Linked DNA regions of Macaca mulatta. The protein of the gene in region 3 binds, or shares a complex with, the protein of the main gene of each other region. Links are inferred from orthologs where the notes say so. Each region holds a gene or a part of one and is shown on either strand. Other genes may lie near its edges.

Evidence for each region. Proteins that work in one complex are often made in the same cells at the same time.
Region 1: KIF11 (region 3) and RBM10 share a complex: the UniProt entries of both Homo sapiens proteins name them as parts of the large chromatin remodeling complex. The link is inferred for Macaca mulatta from reciprocal best matches to the Homo sapiens genes KIF11 and RBM10.
Region 2: KIF11 (region 3) and MYSM1 share a complex: the UniProt entries of both Homo sapiens proteins name them as parts of the large chromatin remodeling complex. The link is inferred for Macaca mulatta from reciprocal best matches to the Homo sapiens genes KIF11 and MYSM1.

Annotation. Positions count from the first base shown.
Region 1 is NC_133426.1:47,208,738-47,214,454, forward strand, and holds part of RBM10 (RNA-binding protein 10), read left to right. Parts: intron 1-1,257; coding exon 1,258-1,318; intron 1,319-1,472; coding exon 1,473-1,649; intron 1,650-2,034; coding exon 2,035-2,195; intron 2,196-2,366; coding exon 2,367-2,464; intron 2,465-2,573; coding exon 2,574-2,661; intron 2,662-3,368; coding exon 3,369-3,555; intron 3,556-3,660; coding exon 3,661-3,800; intron 3,801-3,902; coding exon 3,903-4,020; intron 4,021-4,104; coding exon 4,105-4,196; intron 4,197-4,323; coding exon 4,324-4,488; intron 4,489-5,717. UniProt on the Homo sapiens protein: Binds to ssRNA containing the consensus sequence 5'-AGGUAA-3'. May be involved in post-transcriptional processing, most probably in mRNA splicing. Binds to RNA homopolymers, with a preference for poly(G) and poly(U) and little for poly(A).
Region 2 is NC_133406.1:181,980,150-181,985,866, reverse strand, and holds part of MYSM1 (deubiquitinase MYSM1), read right to left. Parts: intron 5,331-5,717; coding exon 5,198-5,330; intron 1,230-5,197; coding exon 1,124-1,229; intron 946-1,123; coding exon 888-945; intron 1-887. UniProt on the Homo sapiens protein: Metalloprotease with deubiquitinase activity that plays important regulator roles in hematopoietic stem cell function, blood cell production and immune response.
Region 3 is NC_133414.1:104,552,294-104,558,805, reverse strand, and holds the start of KIF11 (kinesin-like protein KIF11), read right to left. Parts: upstream 3,631-6,512; 5' UTR 3,299-3,630; coding exon 3,222-3,298; intron 1-3,221. UniProt on the Homo sapiens protein: Motor protein required for establishing a bipolar spindle and thus contributing to chromosome congression during mitosis. Required in non-mitotic cells for transport of secretory proteins from the Golgi complex to the cell surface.

The DNA of each region.
Region 1 (5,717 bases), on a different chromosome or scaffold from region 3:
TCAAGCAGTCCTCCCGCCTCGGCATCCCAAAGTGCTGGGATTACAGGCATAAGCCACCACGCCCAGCCCCAAACCAGGGAATTCTCATGAACTCCTTCCCCTCCCCTGCATCCTGTTGGCCACCAGGTCCTGTCACTTCCATCACAGAAACGCCACCTTCCCTCCCTTGCCATTCCCGCTGCTCATGCCAATCGTCACGCTCTCACCCGCTCGCTATGGAGCCCTCTCTGGTATGCCGGCCTCTTGTCCTCTTTCTCCCATGCCCTCACCTGGAACATTCCTCAAAACCACCTCTGACCACCCACGCCCATCCTCTGCTTAACCAGCCCCAGCTCAGCTTAAGCATAAGATCCTCCATTACCTAACTGACTTCCTTCCCTGGCCTTGGCTTTTGCTTCTCCCCTTACTCTCCCACACCAGTTTTGGAAAGTCCAGTGTTCCCTCCGATAACAATTCCTCCCCAGCAAGGCTTAACAAAATGAAACTTCTGGGCATCCCAGGTCAGACGTCCCTGCTTCTGTGCAGGGACTGTCCCTGCCAAGTAAGTGGCACCCCACCCCCAGCCCGTTTCCCTCCCCGAGCCCCTGCTGGATGGTCCACACAGACCGACCTGCCCCTCTTCATGCTGCATCTGCCCCCGTGCTATTAGGCCATGAGGGCAGAGACCATGTTCTGGCCATGTGCAGCAGGACCTGGCCCGGGACTGGTGCTTAGTACCTGAGTCTGGAATAGAGATGGAATGTAGTAGAAGCTGGGTATCCAGATGCTGGAACATTCAAGGAAAATTTCTCAAGCAAAGCAGGATCCAACCCAGTCCTAGAGCTAAGAGGAGGGGTGCAGGTCTGGCCAGAGGCTACTGACTTCTAGGGCTGAAACACTGAAAGGTTTCTGAATAGAGAAGCAAGTTTCAGGGAGAGGAACCTAATAAAGGGATTGAATACGTGAGGCGGGGAACAGTCCTGGGAGTTGGTGGCCTTAAGAAGGCAGAGGAAGGAGAGGAGGGAGTTGTTGTAACAAGGGGGGAGTTGTTCATTCCTGAGCTGAGCGGGCTGGCACAGAGAACAAATGAGAGTCTGGAAAGGGAAGATGCACAGTACTGAGAACCACATCAGAAGGTTCAGAAGGCACCTGCCACCCTTGCCTGGGGACTTTCCTTCCTGGGGCACTGCGGGGTCCCTGGGAGATCTCTGCATCCAAGTTTGGAGGGTGCAGTGGGAAATCCCTGCTCCCTCTGACGGCCTGGCCTGTGCCTCACAGTGTGGCGTCCAGAACTTCAAACGCCGAGAGAAGTGCTTCAAATGTGGCGTGCCCAAGTCAGGTGAGGCCCACCTACCCCTCGCACTCCCCAGGGCGGGGCAATTGGGGAGAAGGGAAGGTGAGGGGTCTGTGCTCAAGGCTTGGTATAGGGAGGAGGGTGACCAGTCATGGAGCCTCCCCCTTATCACCAGCCTGTCTCCCACCGCCCCTGACAGAGGCAGAGCAGAAGCTGCCCCTCGGCACGAGACTGGATCAGCAGACACTGCCACTGGGTGGCCGGGAGCTGAGCCAGGGCCTGCTTCCCCTGCCGCAGCCCTACCAGGCCCAGGGAGTCCTGGCCTCCCAAGCCCTGTCACAAGGCTCAGAGCCAAGCTCAGAGAACGCCAATGACAGTGAGTCAGTTGTTCCTTCTTCCTCTGTGCCCTAGGGTGTCTGGGCTGGGCTCACCAAGACCAGAGAAATGGCAGTGAGCAGGACCTCATCCTCATGGAATCTCCACTTGGTGCGGGGATAGACATTTGATGTAGGGAGAGCAGAGGGAGTGGCAACATCCTACCTGACTTTGGGGGTGTGTCGGGAAGGTTCTCAGTAGACAGGCAGCCAGCCTGGCACCTGGACCGCCAAGCAGAGTTGATCCCGGAGGAAGCAGTGAGGGAAGCGGCAGTTGCAGAGGCATGGGGGGGTGGGGGCAGAGGAAAGGGAGCGGTGGGGGGCATTGAAGGGCAGGGCTGGCAAGAGTGCCGGGGGCGTCCTCTAACACTGGGCCCCTTCCCACAGCCATCATTTTGCGCAACCTGAACCCACACAGCACCATGGATTCCATCCTGGGGGCCCTGGCACCCTACGCAGTGCTGTCCTCCTCCAACGTGCGCGTCATAAAGGACAAGCAGACCCAACTGAACCGCGGCTTTGCCTTCATCCAGCTCTCCACCATCGTGGTGAGGGCGGCACAGTTGGGGGCCGGGCAGCCAGGGTCCCGGCCCCCAGGGTGGGGAGGAGGGTCCCTTTCCCCAGCCTCCTACCGCGGCCCCCAGCCTGGAAACCGGGCAATGGAGCCGGGGGCCTCCCCGGGCCTGACCCTTCTGTCCCTGCCTCACCTCCTCCCACAGGAGGCAGCCCAGCTGCTGCAGATCCTGCAAGCCCTGCACCCACCACTCACCATCGACGGCAAGACCATCAATGTTGAGTTTGCCAAGGGTTCTAAGAGGTCAGGGCCCCACCTATGTGCCTTCCCACCCTTCCCCTCCCCACCCTCCCACTCCCCCCCACCGCTTGGGGCCTCCCATCTCACTCCCAGTCTCTAACATCCTCCTCAGGGACATGGCCTCCAATGAAGGCAGTCGCATCAGTGCTGCCTCTGTGGCCAGCACTGCCATTGCTGCGGCCCAGTGGGCCATCTCACAGGTACTCAGACCCCTTGTGCCTCCCAGCGTCCTGAGACCTGGGCTTTCTCAACCCTCCTGCACCCTCTCTGAAGCAGGAAGGCTGGCTTGCTATCCATGGATGCAAAACCCTCTCCCAGTAGCTGGCATGGCCATTCTACCTTGCTCCTGGCTCTCTAGACCCCCTGGGACATTCCCCTTCATCATCACCGTAGCTTTCTTCCCAATTGCCTCCCATGCGCTCATGTACGACGCCATTGTGCCTGGCATTCTGTTCTGTTTGGTGGGGTTTTTATTGTCCTGAATTGGTATGATATACACATATCCTTATATGTAATATATACATATATGATATACACATATCATATGTTCCCGAATAAAAATAATGTATAAGTGGTTGAGAGAAAATTGGGAGAAGAGAATAAAGAAGTGAGAAGATGGTGTCTTCCTTGGCCTGACACCCAACACACACACCACACACAGCAGAATCAGCAGAATCAGCCCTGGAACATTTTGGCGTTCGTCTGTTTTTATGTCTTGTGTTTGCCACTGGCCTATTTGTTCTCTTGTGGCCAGGCAACCCTTGCTTTCCACTTGTCTTAGGCTGCATGCTTTTCTGTCAGGTAGAAACACTAGCCCCACGTGTGGGACAGATGCTTCTAGCAGGTTCCCCACCTCCCCATCCCCACACCTTCCTGTTCTAATGAACCCCTCCCACCTGCCCTTCAGGCCTCCCAAGGTGGGGAGGGTGCCTGGGCCACCTCCGAGGAGCCGCCGGTCGACTACAGCTACTACCAACAGGATGAGGGCTATGGCAACAGCCAGGGCACAGAGTCTTCCCTCTATGCCCATGGCTACCTCAAGGGCACCAAGGGCCCTGGCATCACTGGAACCAAAGGGGACCCCACCGGAGCGGGTGAGCCCCAGCATCTCTCTCTGCAGCTGTGGTGGGGGCCAGCAGGCATAGAGTCCCCGGCCCCATTATTCACAGGCATTCTCCCTGCCCTGTCCTTCCTTACAGGTCCTGAGGCCTCCTTAGAGCCTGGGGCTGACTCTGTGTCGATGCAGGCTTTCTCTCGCGCCCAGCCTGGTGCTGCCCCTGGCATCTACCAACAATCAGCCGAGGCAAGCAGCAGCCAGGGCACTGCTGCCAACAGCCAGGTGAGTGAGCCCTGTGGGTATGTATCCCAGGGAGGCAGGCAGGTGGCAGGGGTGGCATGGGCAGACACTGAGCCCTGTTCTCCTGTCTGGCCCCATGACCAGTCGTATACCATCATGTCACCCGCTGTGCTCAAATCTGAGCTCCAGAGCCCTACCCATCCTAGTTCTGCTCTCCCACCGGCCACCAGCCCCACTGCCCAGGAATCCTACAGCCAGTACCGTGAGTACCCACAGCCTGTGGGTAGGGATGGGGAGTTCTTAATAAAGCAGGGAAGAGTGTGACCCCGCTCCCCTCACCCCCTAGCTGTTCCCGATGTCTCCACCTACCAGTACGATGAGACCTCCGGCTACTACTATGACCCCCAGACCGGCCTCTACTATGACCCCAACTCCCAGGTGATAGGGCAGCCCAGAGAGGGCAGAGAGGGATGGGGTCGGGTCAGGTCGCATCGGGGCAGCTGGCCCTGCAGGTTCCCTTCACAAGGTCTTCCCTCACATCCCTTCTTCACTCCTCCTCCCTCAGTATTACTACAATGCTCAAAGCCAGCAGTACCTGTACTGGGATGGGGAGAGGCGGACCTATGTTCCCGCCCTGGAGCAGTCGGCTGATGGGCATAAGGAGACGGGGGCACCCTCGAAGGAGGGCAAAGAGAAGAAGGAGAAGCACAAGACCAAGACAGCTCAACAGGTGAACACCAGGGTCCAGCAGTCACTGGCTGACTGTGTGGTGTCTTCCAGCAGCGGCACTCTGTCAGCTCTCGCCCTCTCCTGCCGAGGGAGATGGCAGGCAGGTGTGGATGTGGGTGGTGACTGCTTAGCAGACCATGCTCCTGCTCCAGCTCTGCTCTTTGCTGAATGGCCTTGAGCCAGAGCAGTCTCCTCAGTGCGTGACAGGGTTGCCCAACTCCAGGAGGTGGCTTGTGCCATCCGAGTAAGCCCTGTCAGGTGTCTTCTGTCCCATGGTGGGGACCCTCACATGCTGCTGGTGGATATGTATATATATGCCAGAGAAATTCTCACAGGCCCATAAAGGAGTGGGCAGGAAAAAAGCCCTGCAGTGTTTTGTGGGAGTGGGCAAATGGAGGGCACCTCAGTGTCTGTCTGTGGAGAAAGGGTGTGACACTGTGAGTGTAGCATTTACAAGCAAGCACAAAGTGTTCCCTCAGCAACCTGGTGAATTCTAAAAATGGTGCTGTGCTGGCGGGGGAAACATGGAAATATAGAATGTGGCATTGTGTCATGCATATAAATTCAAATTATACACAGATAAACATTCCTATGCATTTTAAAATGATAAAATGGAAATGCACAACAAATGTGACAGCGTGGGTATGTGTGAGGGGAAGAGGAGTGTCTTCATCCATTTGCTGCTCTATAACAATACCACAGACTGGGTAATTTATAAGGAAAAGAGATTGATTTGGCTCACAGTTCTGTAGGCAGGGAAGCCCAGTGGTGTTGGCATCTGGTGAGGGCCTTCTTGCTGCATCATAACATGCGCAAAGGGCAAGAGAGCATGCATTAGAGCAAGAGAAAATTGGGCCAAACTCCCCCTTTTTATCTGGAACCCACTCTCAGTGATGGCATTAAATGGAGACTCAAAAGGTGGAGGGGGGCCGGGAGTGGTGGTTCACACCTGTAATCCCAGCACTTTGGGAGGCCGAGGCAGGCAGATCACCTGAGGTCAGGAGTTCGAGACCAGCCTGGCCACGTGGCGAAACCCCGTCTCTACTAAAAGTACAAAAATTAGCCGGGCATGGTGGCAGGCGCCTGTAATCTCAGCTACTCAGGAAGCTGAGGCAGGAGAATCGCTTGAACCCAGGAGGCGGAGGTTGCAGTGAGCTGAGATCATGCCATTGTACTCCAGCCTGGGCGACAAAAGCGAGATTCCTTCTCGAATCATATATATATGATTCA
Region 2 (5,717 bases), on a different chromosome or scaffold from region 3:
AAGATTAACTTGTGTTTAATAGTCATAGAGCTGGAATGTAGGAAATTGCTGCTGAGGAACACTCAGCTTAGTACCTTTATGATTTTACATAAGGAGACAAACCTGAGATTGTTTATGTGACACTTTCTACTTTGGACATATTTGTGACTTTTCTTCATTTGTAGTCACACTTACAAAGCAAAATAATCCTGAGCATACACACACACACAACTCTATGAACATAAAAACATAGGATTCTACCATTTCAAAATGAGGATGCTAGTTAGAGTCTACTTCCTTGGAAATGTGCATATACTTTTTCAACAACACAGAAAAAAAGTGGATATAACAGAGGAGTAAAAAATATTAAAAAGAAACTTAACGTTTAAATTTTCTATCCCCAACTGCTATTTAAAAAAATAAGACAAATGTTACAAATCTACTAGCCTTCAGTCATTACAGAAGCAAAACCTAGAAGTGAACTGATAGAATTCAAAACTCTTATTTCCTACTAGAAAGTTAAATAAAATGACTATTTAAATGTAATTGTTAGAGTTATACCATCATTCTTAAAAATGATCAATTGTTAAGGCTAAAATGGAAACATGGCACTTTCAAATTTAATAAAATGAGAAAAATGTTCTCCATTGTGTACAATAATAATCTGCGAAGAAATTTATCAGCTGACACTGACAAATTTATTCTAAAATAGTATTTTTTTCTATGTGCAAGCTTGGGCAACAAAACACATTACTAATTATCTCCTAGAAATTAATTTTCCAAAGGAAAAAGTAATAAAATATACAGAAAATTATCCACAAAGTATCAGGCATCATGGGAAAACACATTGAGATAAATAGCTTTAGAATCTGTGAACAATGGAACCAATTAAAATGAAGGCAGCTTACTTTCTGCAAACAAGTCAGGTCAGAATCCCGGCGAAAGATTTTATCCATGGGGACGCTGCTGTAGGAAGAAATATGAAAACAAACTGATGAAACGAATACTATAAACTAATCAGTTTCGTAATAAACTATCACAGATGCCATACATCACAATTTTATATTTAACTTGGGTTTTCTCTGAAACATAATTTAATGAGCAACACTGCAGATGTGCAACCATCTCAAACTACAGTACATACCTATGGGAGAGCCTGTATTTTTCTATTATCCATCTTGTCTTTTCAAATACTAATCCCCACTGAGGTTCTTCTAACATCTGCTGTACTTCAAATTTGTAAGGTAAGCCTAGAAAAGCATAAAGAAGCACATTTTCATCAACTATTTCTTAACTCGCCAATCTCCTTTTAATTATAATTAAAATTCCCTTCAGTGTTTTTACAACCACAGCTTCGTAGACCAGCTGAACAGCACTTTAAACATAGTGGGCATTCATTAAATATTTATTGCCTGACTGTACTTGGTCCACTAAGCATATTAATGCCAAGCTATTAATAATAATAAAGAAGAGTAGAAGTGCCATTTACATGACAGCTCTATGCATGGCACTATGATAGGATGATCATGTAATTTATCACCTAAACCAAGAGACTTTTTGAATGAAAGAAGGTACTATGAATAATTATGCCTGAACCACAGGTTTAAATTAGGATTATCCTAGACAAACTGAGACACATTGCCATCCAAGTGATAATTTAAAAAACACATATATACAGGTTATTAAGCTTACAACAATGCCATATCTTTTTTTTTTTTTTTTTAACAGGTGAGAAAACTGAAGCTGAGATACATTAAAAAACATATTTAGGCTAGCAAAGTGGCAGGACATAGATGTTAAAACCCAGCAGGTTCGCCTCACTTCTGAGCCCAAACTCATTCCACCTCCCTAGAAGAGCTAATCTAAGACTAGACAAGAGGATAGGATGAACTCTAGGGAGGCAGCAACTGCTTTGAGTCAAAGTTGTTACACTAAACTCTGGAGGAAAGAAAGAAGCCCAAGGGGTGGACATCATATATTCATCTAGAAAGGAAAAAATACGAAACAATGAGCTATCTTAGCAATTTTTCACATATCCTTCAAGAGCCCCATGCAAATGTATCTGTAGCATTTTTTTAAAAGCTCAGCTGATTCATTACCAAAGGCTGATACCATCATAGTAACACTTACAATGTGTACTATGTGCCACCTAAAACTTTATGTGAAATCACTTAAATGAAGTAGCTGCCATTATTCCCGCCCAGCCCCCTGCCCTTTTTTTTTTTTTTTTTTGATGAGGACACTACATCATAGAAAAGTTAGCCTGCTCATAATCAGATATAAAGGCATAGGCAGGATTTGAACCCAGGCAGTAAGACTCGAGAGTTCTGCTTTTAACTTTTACATAATACTGCCTCTCAACTGGGTTTCTACCATGATAAGGCTTTTCAAATAAATAAAATGCCAGCAAATCCGAAGTCATGGAAAAAAAAAGGGAAAAATACAACTGTTTCCTCATAATGAAATAAAGCATAGCTTAACTGTCAATATGCTCTAAAAAGGTATTTTTTCAGGTGTTTAGAAGAAGGACAGCGGACAGCAAGCCTGATGATGATGACTGATCTTTTTTATTTAATTGCTCAATTTTCCTCTTCTCCAAAAACTTAAAGAGTGACACATTATAGTACGTGGAGTACTAAGCAAACTCCTTTTGGTGATAACGATCACTTACTTGACATGCTTTGATTACTTACTAAATACGGATACCAGCTATATAATCATAACTATCCATTGAAAACTTATTATTTCTAAGCACTTTACATATATTACTGACACACCTTACAACCATATACCTACTGTAAGCAAGGTAGTAATTTTTTCTCATTTTACAGATATGGCAAAGGAGAATGAGAGAGTAAACTGCCCAAGGTAAAATAAGCAATAAATGTCAGAGCTGGGATCTGATTCCAGTAGAGTGACTCCTGCTCTCAGTGAAAGTTGAAAATGAAAATAAAGAAAGGTAAATAATGCATTTCCAATCTATGCTGATGCAAAAACATGAAAACACACACACAAATCATATACAGGTCTATTTGGTATTTTTAGAATATTTTTTAATTTAAAAAAAGGTACTTTTAAAGTCAATAAAAGTTTCCTTTTATAGAGAATATTTTTATCCACTAAAATATAAGAAAACTAATCACTAAATATATTTCCTCCCTGTCACAAGTAAAGAAAACATTAAACCATTAGAGATATTATAAAGATATGACCTGAGTTAAAAGTACTGTAGCACAAGGTATCCCATGGCTTCTAGAAAACCTTAATTCTTGCACCAGAGGATTTCTAAGGGCAAAGCAAAAGACCCAGGATTAAGATCTAATATGCAGCGTTAAGCGTGGACAAGTCATTTACAAGACAGCTGTGTCCAATGGTAGCTCACGGGAGCATCATGGATAGTTCCCTCTAATGCTTTCAAGTGGTTCTTTCCCATCTGGGCTAGTTTCTTCACATGCATGTGCTGATCTGTATTTTGCCAAATACTCCAGGGATACCCTTCTACAAATCTCCAGAGTTCACTCTCCATTCTGTTTTCTGTTCTCTTGGGGCGCTGTCTCACAAACTCAGCTGTCTTGGTCTCCTTATCTCCATCACCTTAACTGAGTCTGCCTGACTCTGGGTGGGTTTCTCCTTCTTGTGCCATATCTGAAAACCCTCTTAAACAGTAAGCTAGGGTAATTTCGGGCTCTTTTCATTTGTTTCCCATATCTTAGCAACTGCATTCCTTTGCTGCTCAACATTGTGTTTAAATACCATTATTTTATATACTTTGTCCAGTGTTTTGGTAGTTTCAGACAAGTTCTTGTTACTTCATTTGGCCAGAGTAGAATTCCATGAATTAAATTTTAAGTTTCATGTAATTCTAATCAACATACATTTAAAGTCACATGTACTGCTATTGTATTGGACACCACCAGAATTGAGGTTCATTATCAAAACCTAGCAGTCTGTGAGATTATAAAATGATTAAAGAGAGAACAATTGCGATTCTTTTTATAAAACTGTACTGAGCTTAAGAGTATTATGTATTACGTGCTATGCTCAAAATGGACATTCCAGACTAAAGTTAATGCCAATATTATTAACTCAATAAAAACCCACATAGTGTTGACCACCTCCTAGATGCAAAGCAATTTATTAGGTGCTACTGGAGAAAAAGACAAATAAGACATAGTCCCTGCTCTTCGGGCATACAATTTGTTTAGGACTTGCTAAATAGATAAATTGCATTAAAAGACAAAGTGACCATGAAGGGAGGAATAAAGTGTTGCAGATACATAAAAAATAGAGCAACTAATACTAAATAACATAGGGGCAGTGCTGGTAAGTCTTTATAAAATATAAGGCATCCAAGTGAGATCATTAAGAATGAAGAGAAATTAATTATTAAACATTCATTCATTTAGTATCTACTTTATGCCAGGCCTTGTGCTAGAAACTGGATAGAAAAATGGGTACAATACAGTATTTATTCTCAAAGATCTCATGATCTAATGGGAAAGAGTACAATGTGGGGTAACTGTAGTGGCAGCGTCCAGGGGACCTGACCTAGAGCAGTGGTAGTAATGACAGAATATCCTAGAGTTATTTAGCCTATTGTTTCCTCTGATTATTTGCTTTCTAGCCACACTCCCTTCCTTTTCCTAGTCTGCTATACTAATTCCCTATCCACCCAGAAATGACTGGACTACAAGTGGACATAAACCTCGGAGGAATCAAGTCAAATGATGGTCTATGCCAATCAAATTCTTTCCTGAGATACAATGGGAGCAACGAAATATACAAATTGAGTTAGTCATTGTTAACCCCTAAACTGGGAAGTGACAGGGAGTTGGTGGTCATTTTTTTTTTCATTTGCATACCATCACAGAGAAAGCCAGTCTGCATTTATAAAAAAAATTTCATGAGAACAGAGACTGTTTTGTTTACTGCAGTATCTCCAGTACCTAGCATACACACTGCCTGGCCATAACTTTTCCCCATATTTCAATCCTTTTGCCCAGTGGCCATGGTAACAAAAGTGGGGACTTGAATATAGCAGGAGATTAAGAAAGGGAAGAGGGTGGCTGCACTAGGGTGGCACCCAAATAATGATTCCCTAGTTGAGGGCACAAACTCTTGCATTAAATACTTTTGCACAGTTGCAAATCTTTTGATTTGTATGAGTCAAATAAATGAGAGCAGAAATAGGATAAAGTTATTTTTGTTGAAAACTTACGGTAAGAGCCATCTGCGCTAATTTCCTCACTTATAACCAGGCAGGTAATCTGAGAATATGGTAAGGGATTATTTCGATTATAGGGACTAACAATCATTCCAATGAACTTTGCACCTCCTCTGGAGAAGTAGCTCTACAATTACAAGAAAAATATAATTAGTTTCAACTGCATAAACTCAAAAGCCAATATTTATCCATACTAACATTTTAAACATCTAATGAGGAAAAGCAGGAACAAAAAGGTGCATTAAAAAGTTCACATCTGGCCCAGAGCGGTGGCTCACGCCTGTAATCCCAGAACTTTGGGAGACTGAGGCAGGTGGATTGCCTGAGGTCAGGTCAGCCTGATCAGGCTTGAGACCAGCCTGGCCAACATGGTGAAACCTCATCTCTCCTAAAAATACAAAAATTAGCTGGGTGTGGTGGCACATTCCTGTAACCCCAGGTACTCAGAAGGCTGAGGCAGGAGAATCCCTTAAACCTGGGAGGTGGAGGTTGCAGTGAGTCGAGATCGCACCAC
Region 3 (6,512 bases):
AGATTTGGGTATCAAATGTGACCCATGCATTGGTATCTACAGCCTGGACTTCTACATGGTGCAGGGTAGGCCTGGTTTCAGCACTGCAGACACATAGCACAGAACAGTCTGCACTGGGGCCAAACAGAATCAGCAAAGAGGCCATGCGCTGGTTCCAAAAAGAAAAAGAAAGGAAAAGACCACAGTATCAATGAGTAAAAAGGCAACCCACAGTAATGGGGAAAAATTTTTTGCAGATCATATATCTGAAAATACCCAAAATACATAGAAAACTCCTAAAACTCAACAACAAAAAAGCAAACCAATATAAAAATGGGCAAAGGACTTAGACATTTCTCCAAAGATATACAAAATGGCCAGTAAACACACGAAAAGATGCTCAAAATCATCACAAATCAAAACTACAATGAGATGCCACCTCACACCTAATGGGATGGCTACTCGAAAAAAAAAGAAACAGAAAATAAATGTTGGTGAGGATGTGGATAAATGGGAACCCTTATGCACTGTTGGTGGGAATGTAAATGGTCCAGCCACTGTGGAAAATAGTTTGTTGGTTCCTCAAAAAATTTAAAATAGAATTATCATATGATCCAGCAATTATAATTCTGGGTAAATACCCAAAAGAATTGAAAACCCATATTCATAGCAACTTTATTCATAATAGCCAAAATTAAGAAGTAACTCAAGTGTCCACTGACATATGAAGGGACAAGCAAAATATGATACATACATATAATACTATTCAGCCTTAAAAAAGAAGACGTTTGCTACAACATGGTCCAACCTGGAGGACATTATGCTAAGTGGAATAAGCAAGTTACAAAAGGATAAATACTGTATTATGACTCTATTTTATGAAGTATTTAGAGTAGTCAAAATCATAGACAGTAGAATGGTAGGTGTCAGGGGTTGATGGGAGAGGGAAATGGGGAGTTATTGTTTAATGTGTATAGAGTTTCAGTTGTTCATGATGAAAAGAGTTATGGAGATGGATGGTAGTAATGGTTGCAGAATATTATGTATTTAATATCACCGAACTGTACACTTAAAAGTGGTTAAGATGTTAAATTTTATATTATGTGTATTCGAAAGTGACTTTTTAAATTGGGAAAAAAATAGGGGACAGAATAGCAGGGGCATAAGAAAGATAGCCAGTAGCGCATTATGTAGGGATCTGTAAACTTTAACCTGTGAGTCAAACCTGGCCCTTGCCCTGCCAGATTTAAGAATGATTTTTACAGTTTTAAAGTGTTCTTTAAAAAAAAAAAAAAAAGATCAGAAAATAATGTGACAGAAACCACATGTGGAGGGGTGCAGTAGCTCATGCCTATAATCCCAGCACTTTGGGAGGCTGAGGCGGGTGGATTCCCTGAGGTCAGGAGTTTGAGACCAGCCTGGCCAACATGGTGAAACCCCATCTCTACTAAAAATACAAAAATTAGCAAGGCATGGCGGTGTGCACCTGTAATCCCAGCTACCTGAGAGGCTGAAGTGGGAAAACCGCTTGAATCTAGGAGGCGGAGGTTGCAGTGAGCAGAGATTGCGCCACTGCACTAGGGCCTGAGCGAGACAGCAAGGCCTTGTCTCAAAAAAAAAAAAAAATAACAAACCACATGTGACCTGCAAAGTCTAAAGTATTTAAATAAAATAAATATTTATTTCTCTGGGCCCTTTTCAGAAAAGGCTTACCAACCCCTGAGGGCCTTGCAACTCATAAGTTGCCTATTTACGAAAGCTTAATAACAGACTTGCACCAGGAAGGCTATTTGAAAGAAAAAGGCTAATGTGGAAAAAAAAATCTCTTTACACAAAAATTATTGTAAATATTAGACACAAGCAAATAACTATTATATTCATTGGTGATAAAGTAAATCTCCTGTAAGGCAAGGCTTGAAATGTATGCGGATCATAAACATCAAGTTCAAGATAATGGTTAACTGTGGCTGGAGGAAAAGGGATAGAGAGGGGAAAGGGGGGGCTCCAGCAATGATTGTTTTGTTTCTTAATCTGGGTGATGAATATACAAATGTTTATTACATTGTTCTTAATAACTTTTGTAAGTCTGAAGTATTTTGTAACTAATGTTAAAAAAAGAAATCAAATAAAGGCATACGGAAAAGGTAATATTGCCTGGTTTTATTAAACAACCAAAATAAGTTTAAAATTTGCACTTGTTATATGCACAGCATTTTTAAATAAAAATTTTCAGAACAACTACTAACAGAAGCCCCAGAGTACAACAACTGGTAAGTGTCACTGGCTAGATTTAAGATTGCCACCAAATTTCCTCTCTGGCACCTCGCTTAGAAACCTAGTCATCACCTTTGATATCTACAATTGAAGTTACCAGGGCTGAGTAAACAATAGCCTAAGAAAGTTTGTTGAAACAGGTTTTTCCAAAAAAATAGCCTTTTAATTTTAGACTACTTTGGGGTTTACAGAAAAGTTGCAACAGCAACTGTTAACAGCCACAAAAACAGACACACAAAACACAAACTCAGTAAACTGTGGAGAGCCTCTAAAAAGTTGAATACATCAATTCTAACTAAACAGCAGTTTCTAGCTCATTTTAAAATTGGGAAGTTATTTGGAAACGAGTCAGGGGAGGGCCGAACACCCCTCCACATCTTCTTATCTCGAAATATCCATTTAATTTGGTCTATGAACAAACAGGCAGATAAAAGGGAAAACTGTAGCACAATCAGAAATTTACACTAGCTTAGCTTGTCTTGATCTTTTAAAAAACATAAACTCACTTTATAACTTAATTTTTAATGTTTAAAGACAGATGTTTACTTGTTTAGTAGGGATGCAGAAAATACTGCATCTAGAATAAAGAGAACAGTGGTTGATTGCTTTTTAGAGGCGATAATACCAACGTAAGTGCTAAACCATCTGCAAAACAGGTATTCAGTCTTACTTCCAAACGGACAAACTACATGAAGTAGCATATATAAGTGACACCTAAGTCTTTATTGACTATAGTTTAAAAATAACGCACTTTTCAGTATGGAACAGTGATCAAACCAAACATACTATTTTCTGCTAAAAATCAGACACACAAAGCAACCGGGTGTCATTTTTATTGAACAGAAAGAGGAGAACCAAGAAACTGGGACCCTCAGGAAATGCAAATAAAATCCCTCTCCCTGGACCGCGCACTAGGGGGCCCAGCAGCGAAGCCCCGGCGCTCGGAATCCTGTCAGCCCTCTCCCTACCTGCATCTCACCACCACCTGGATGTTCTTCCCCTTCTCTTCTTTCTTCTTCGCAGACGAATTTGGCTGCGACGCCATGACTGTCCCCGCCAAAAAATCAAGGCCTGGCCGCGGACTTGGGCGCTGTGAGGCGCGGAGGGGCTTGGCGGCCGACGGGGGCCGGAGTCTCCCTGGTCCCTCCCGGGCGCTGGCGTGGCCTGGAGGACCGACGCACGCAGCTCGGCGTCCCCGCTCTCTACCCGGTACTCTGGCCGTGGCGTTTATCCCGCGCCAGCCGGAGCCGCCAAATCACCAATCTCGTCTCCACCCCAAGCCCCAGAAACCAAGCAACGACTCGGCGCCTCAATTTGAAAAAGGGACCGAGTAGCCGGACCAATGACTGCGCTGGCGCGCAAGGCACCATGGGATGCAGTGTCCTCACCAAGAGCCCCGCCCTCGGAGCGTGGCCTGCGGGAACTTAAAGAGTTGGGCTGTCCGCCTGCTCCGGAATTTCGTAGTCCAGAGCTGAGACTTTGGAACTAAGCGTGGAACTTTTAGCGTAGCGTGGCTCAACTTACATAACGTCCCTAGCCCAAAATTCCCTCATCTGCAGAGAGGAAATAATAGTAACCATCTCAGAGGGTTAGGATGAGAATTAATAAGCTCGTGGAAATAGATCGGAATATATGGTAAGCACTCGCCATGATTATAATTATTAGAGAATTGTAAGAGAGGGCAATAGAAGCACAGAAGAGAGGTCCAAAGCGAGCCGCCATCCCGGAGGCAGAGACCAGGATAGTCTTTTTTTTTTTTTTTTTTTTTTTGAGACGGGGTCTCGCTCTTGTCACCCGGGCTGGATCTCGGCTCACTGCGCCTCCCGGTTCGAGCGATTCTCCTGCTTCAGCCCCCGAGTTGCTGGGATTACAGGTATGTTCCACCACGCCCGGCTAATATTTGTATTTTCAGTAGAGATGTGGTTTCACCATATTAGCTAGGCTGGTCTCGAACTCCGGACCTCAGATGATCCGCCCGCCTTGGCCTCCCAAAGTGCTAGGATTACAGGTGTGAGCTACCGCGCCCGGCCCAGAATAGTCTTGAAGAATAATTAATGTCGGGGCCCGGTGGCTCACGCCTGTAATCCCAACACTTTAACGGGCCGAGGTATGAGGATAGCTTGAGGCCAGGAGTTTGAGACCAGCCTGGGCGACATAGGGAGACCCCCCTTCGCCCCCCGCTCCCCGATGCGTCTCAACAATAAACAGGAGGAAAAAATAGCCTGGTGTGGTGGTGCGTGCCTGTTGGTCCCAGCTACTCAGGAGGCTGAGGCAGAAGGATCGCTGAACAGGGGAGATCGAGGCTGCAGTGAGCCGGGATTATGCCGCTGGATTACTACAGCCTAGGCGACAGAGCAATGCCCTTTTTCAAAAAATAATAATAATAATAATAAGGAAGTGTTAAGAGATAGGCTACTACAGGTTCCAAATCGTGATGAAATGGACACTGGATGCCATTTGGAGGACTCTGAATTTATCCTTTGGTCATCATCTCTAAGCGACTCCAGGCAAAAAAGCAGGGTCCGCCTTGATTTTAGAACGACTGCACTGACCGACTGACGCAGGCCGCGGGCGCGCTGCGCTCCGGGTTTCCGCGCGGCGCAGCGGGCGGTCGCATCGCAAGGAAGCTGCGCAAACGTCCGCCGCCCCGGCCTACGAATCCCAGCATGCAGCGCTCGCTGGGGCCTGCGCGCCCTCAGTCACCTCTGGTCTGCTGCAGGCGAAATTTTCGGCGTCTTGGCAGTGCCTGGCGTGACTTGACCGCTGTAGGTGTGGGATGCCGCATCAGGAAATACTGTAACAGGAGCCTATTGTTATGAATAACGTTTAAAATCTTAAGGAAATTGAATACTTGAACAAAGGATTTTTAGCAAAGCAATTTTATTTTTGCGCAGAGGGGTGCCTTTTTGGCCAGTCGCCACGAGAGCACACCTGAACAAAGGGGCAGGAGAGTCTTTATTTTTGACCCAAGTCCTGCCCCTGTATATTTTTTCCCATTGGCTGGGGTCGGGTCGTATAATCTAAACTAATCCCGTTTGGCTAAACATTTGATTTTTTTTAGATAAGGTGGGCACGTAACAGAAGGCGGAGAGGAAAGGGGAAGGGATGTCTGTAATGAGCTAGAAAGTTAGTCCTCTTTTCAAATGAGGAAAGGAATGTGAGCTGGTATTGATAACGTCTGGTATTGTGGCGTGCCTCGGCATTTAACAAAGGCAAAAAGAAAAAAAGGAGAAAAAGGGAAAAAGGGGAGGGTACTATGAATTAAAGAAGAAAAGACTGATCGGGTTATTTGAAGAGAAACATCATATCTCACACTATGTTGTAGTCGGTTCCTGGAACTGTGCTTCTGGCCCACACAACCCATGAGAACCTAAATGTCGTGTTAGTCTATTAAGTAACACCCCGGTGTAGTGGAAAGCTCTGATGTCCTTTTTATGTTCCTCCACTTGCTAATCCCCTACATGCGTCCCACCCCTCCGGCCCCCCGCCCCAAGGAAATATCTGCATCTATAGCTCCTTCTGCTGGTCATCTCTATTTTGAGTAGCCAGCTGTCTGTTGATATCTCCTCTTAGGTGGCTCGCTGGCATTTCAAAATGGGACCTATGCCAAACGGAACTCTATCTTATCTCCACCTTAATCTTTCTCATCTGGATGCTGGAGCTAACCAGAACCTTTGATTCCTCCATGTGTAGTGGAGTCCTGTTGATTTTGTCTCCCCTGCGATGGATCACCATAGTCCAAGGCTCTTATCTTTTCCCTGAACAACTGTCATCTGCCTCCTTAACAAGATTCTCTTCTGCCCTTTTCTCCTCCCCTCGAACCCTCCATTACGTTTACTCAGCAAGGGAAGTGTCTTTTAAGAAATAAGAAAATAAGACCATGCTCTTCATCTGCTTTTTAATCTTACACTATCTTCTCATTTGTATTTGGAATGAAATCCAAACTCATTACCATGCCCTGTAGGGTCCTCATGATCTGGCCCTTGTCCATACAATCAACTAAAGGCACTTTCCAAAAATCTCATTACCATGCTTCAGAGCTCCTAGCTTTTTCCTGTGGCCAGGTCCTTGTACCTGACATACCCTCTGCCCTAAACTGTGTTTGGCTCTTTGCATGGCTTACCCATTCTCATTCTTCAGCTCTCAGTTGAACTTTCTCTTTTAAAAACACCTATCCTGACCACCCTATCTAAAGCACATTGTTCATAATTTTCTCTTTTTTTTTATTTTTGAGACGGAGTCTCGCTCTGTCCCTCGTG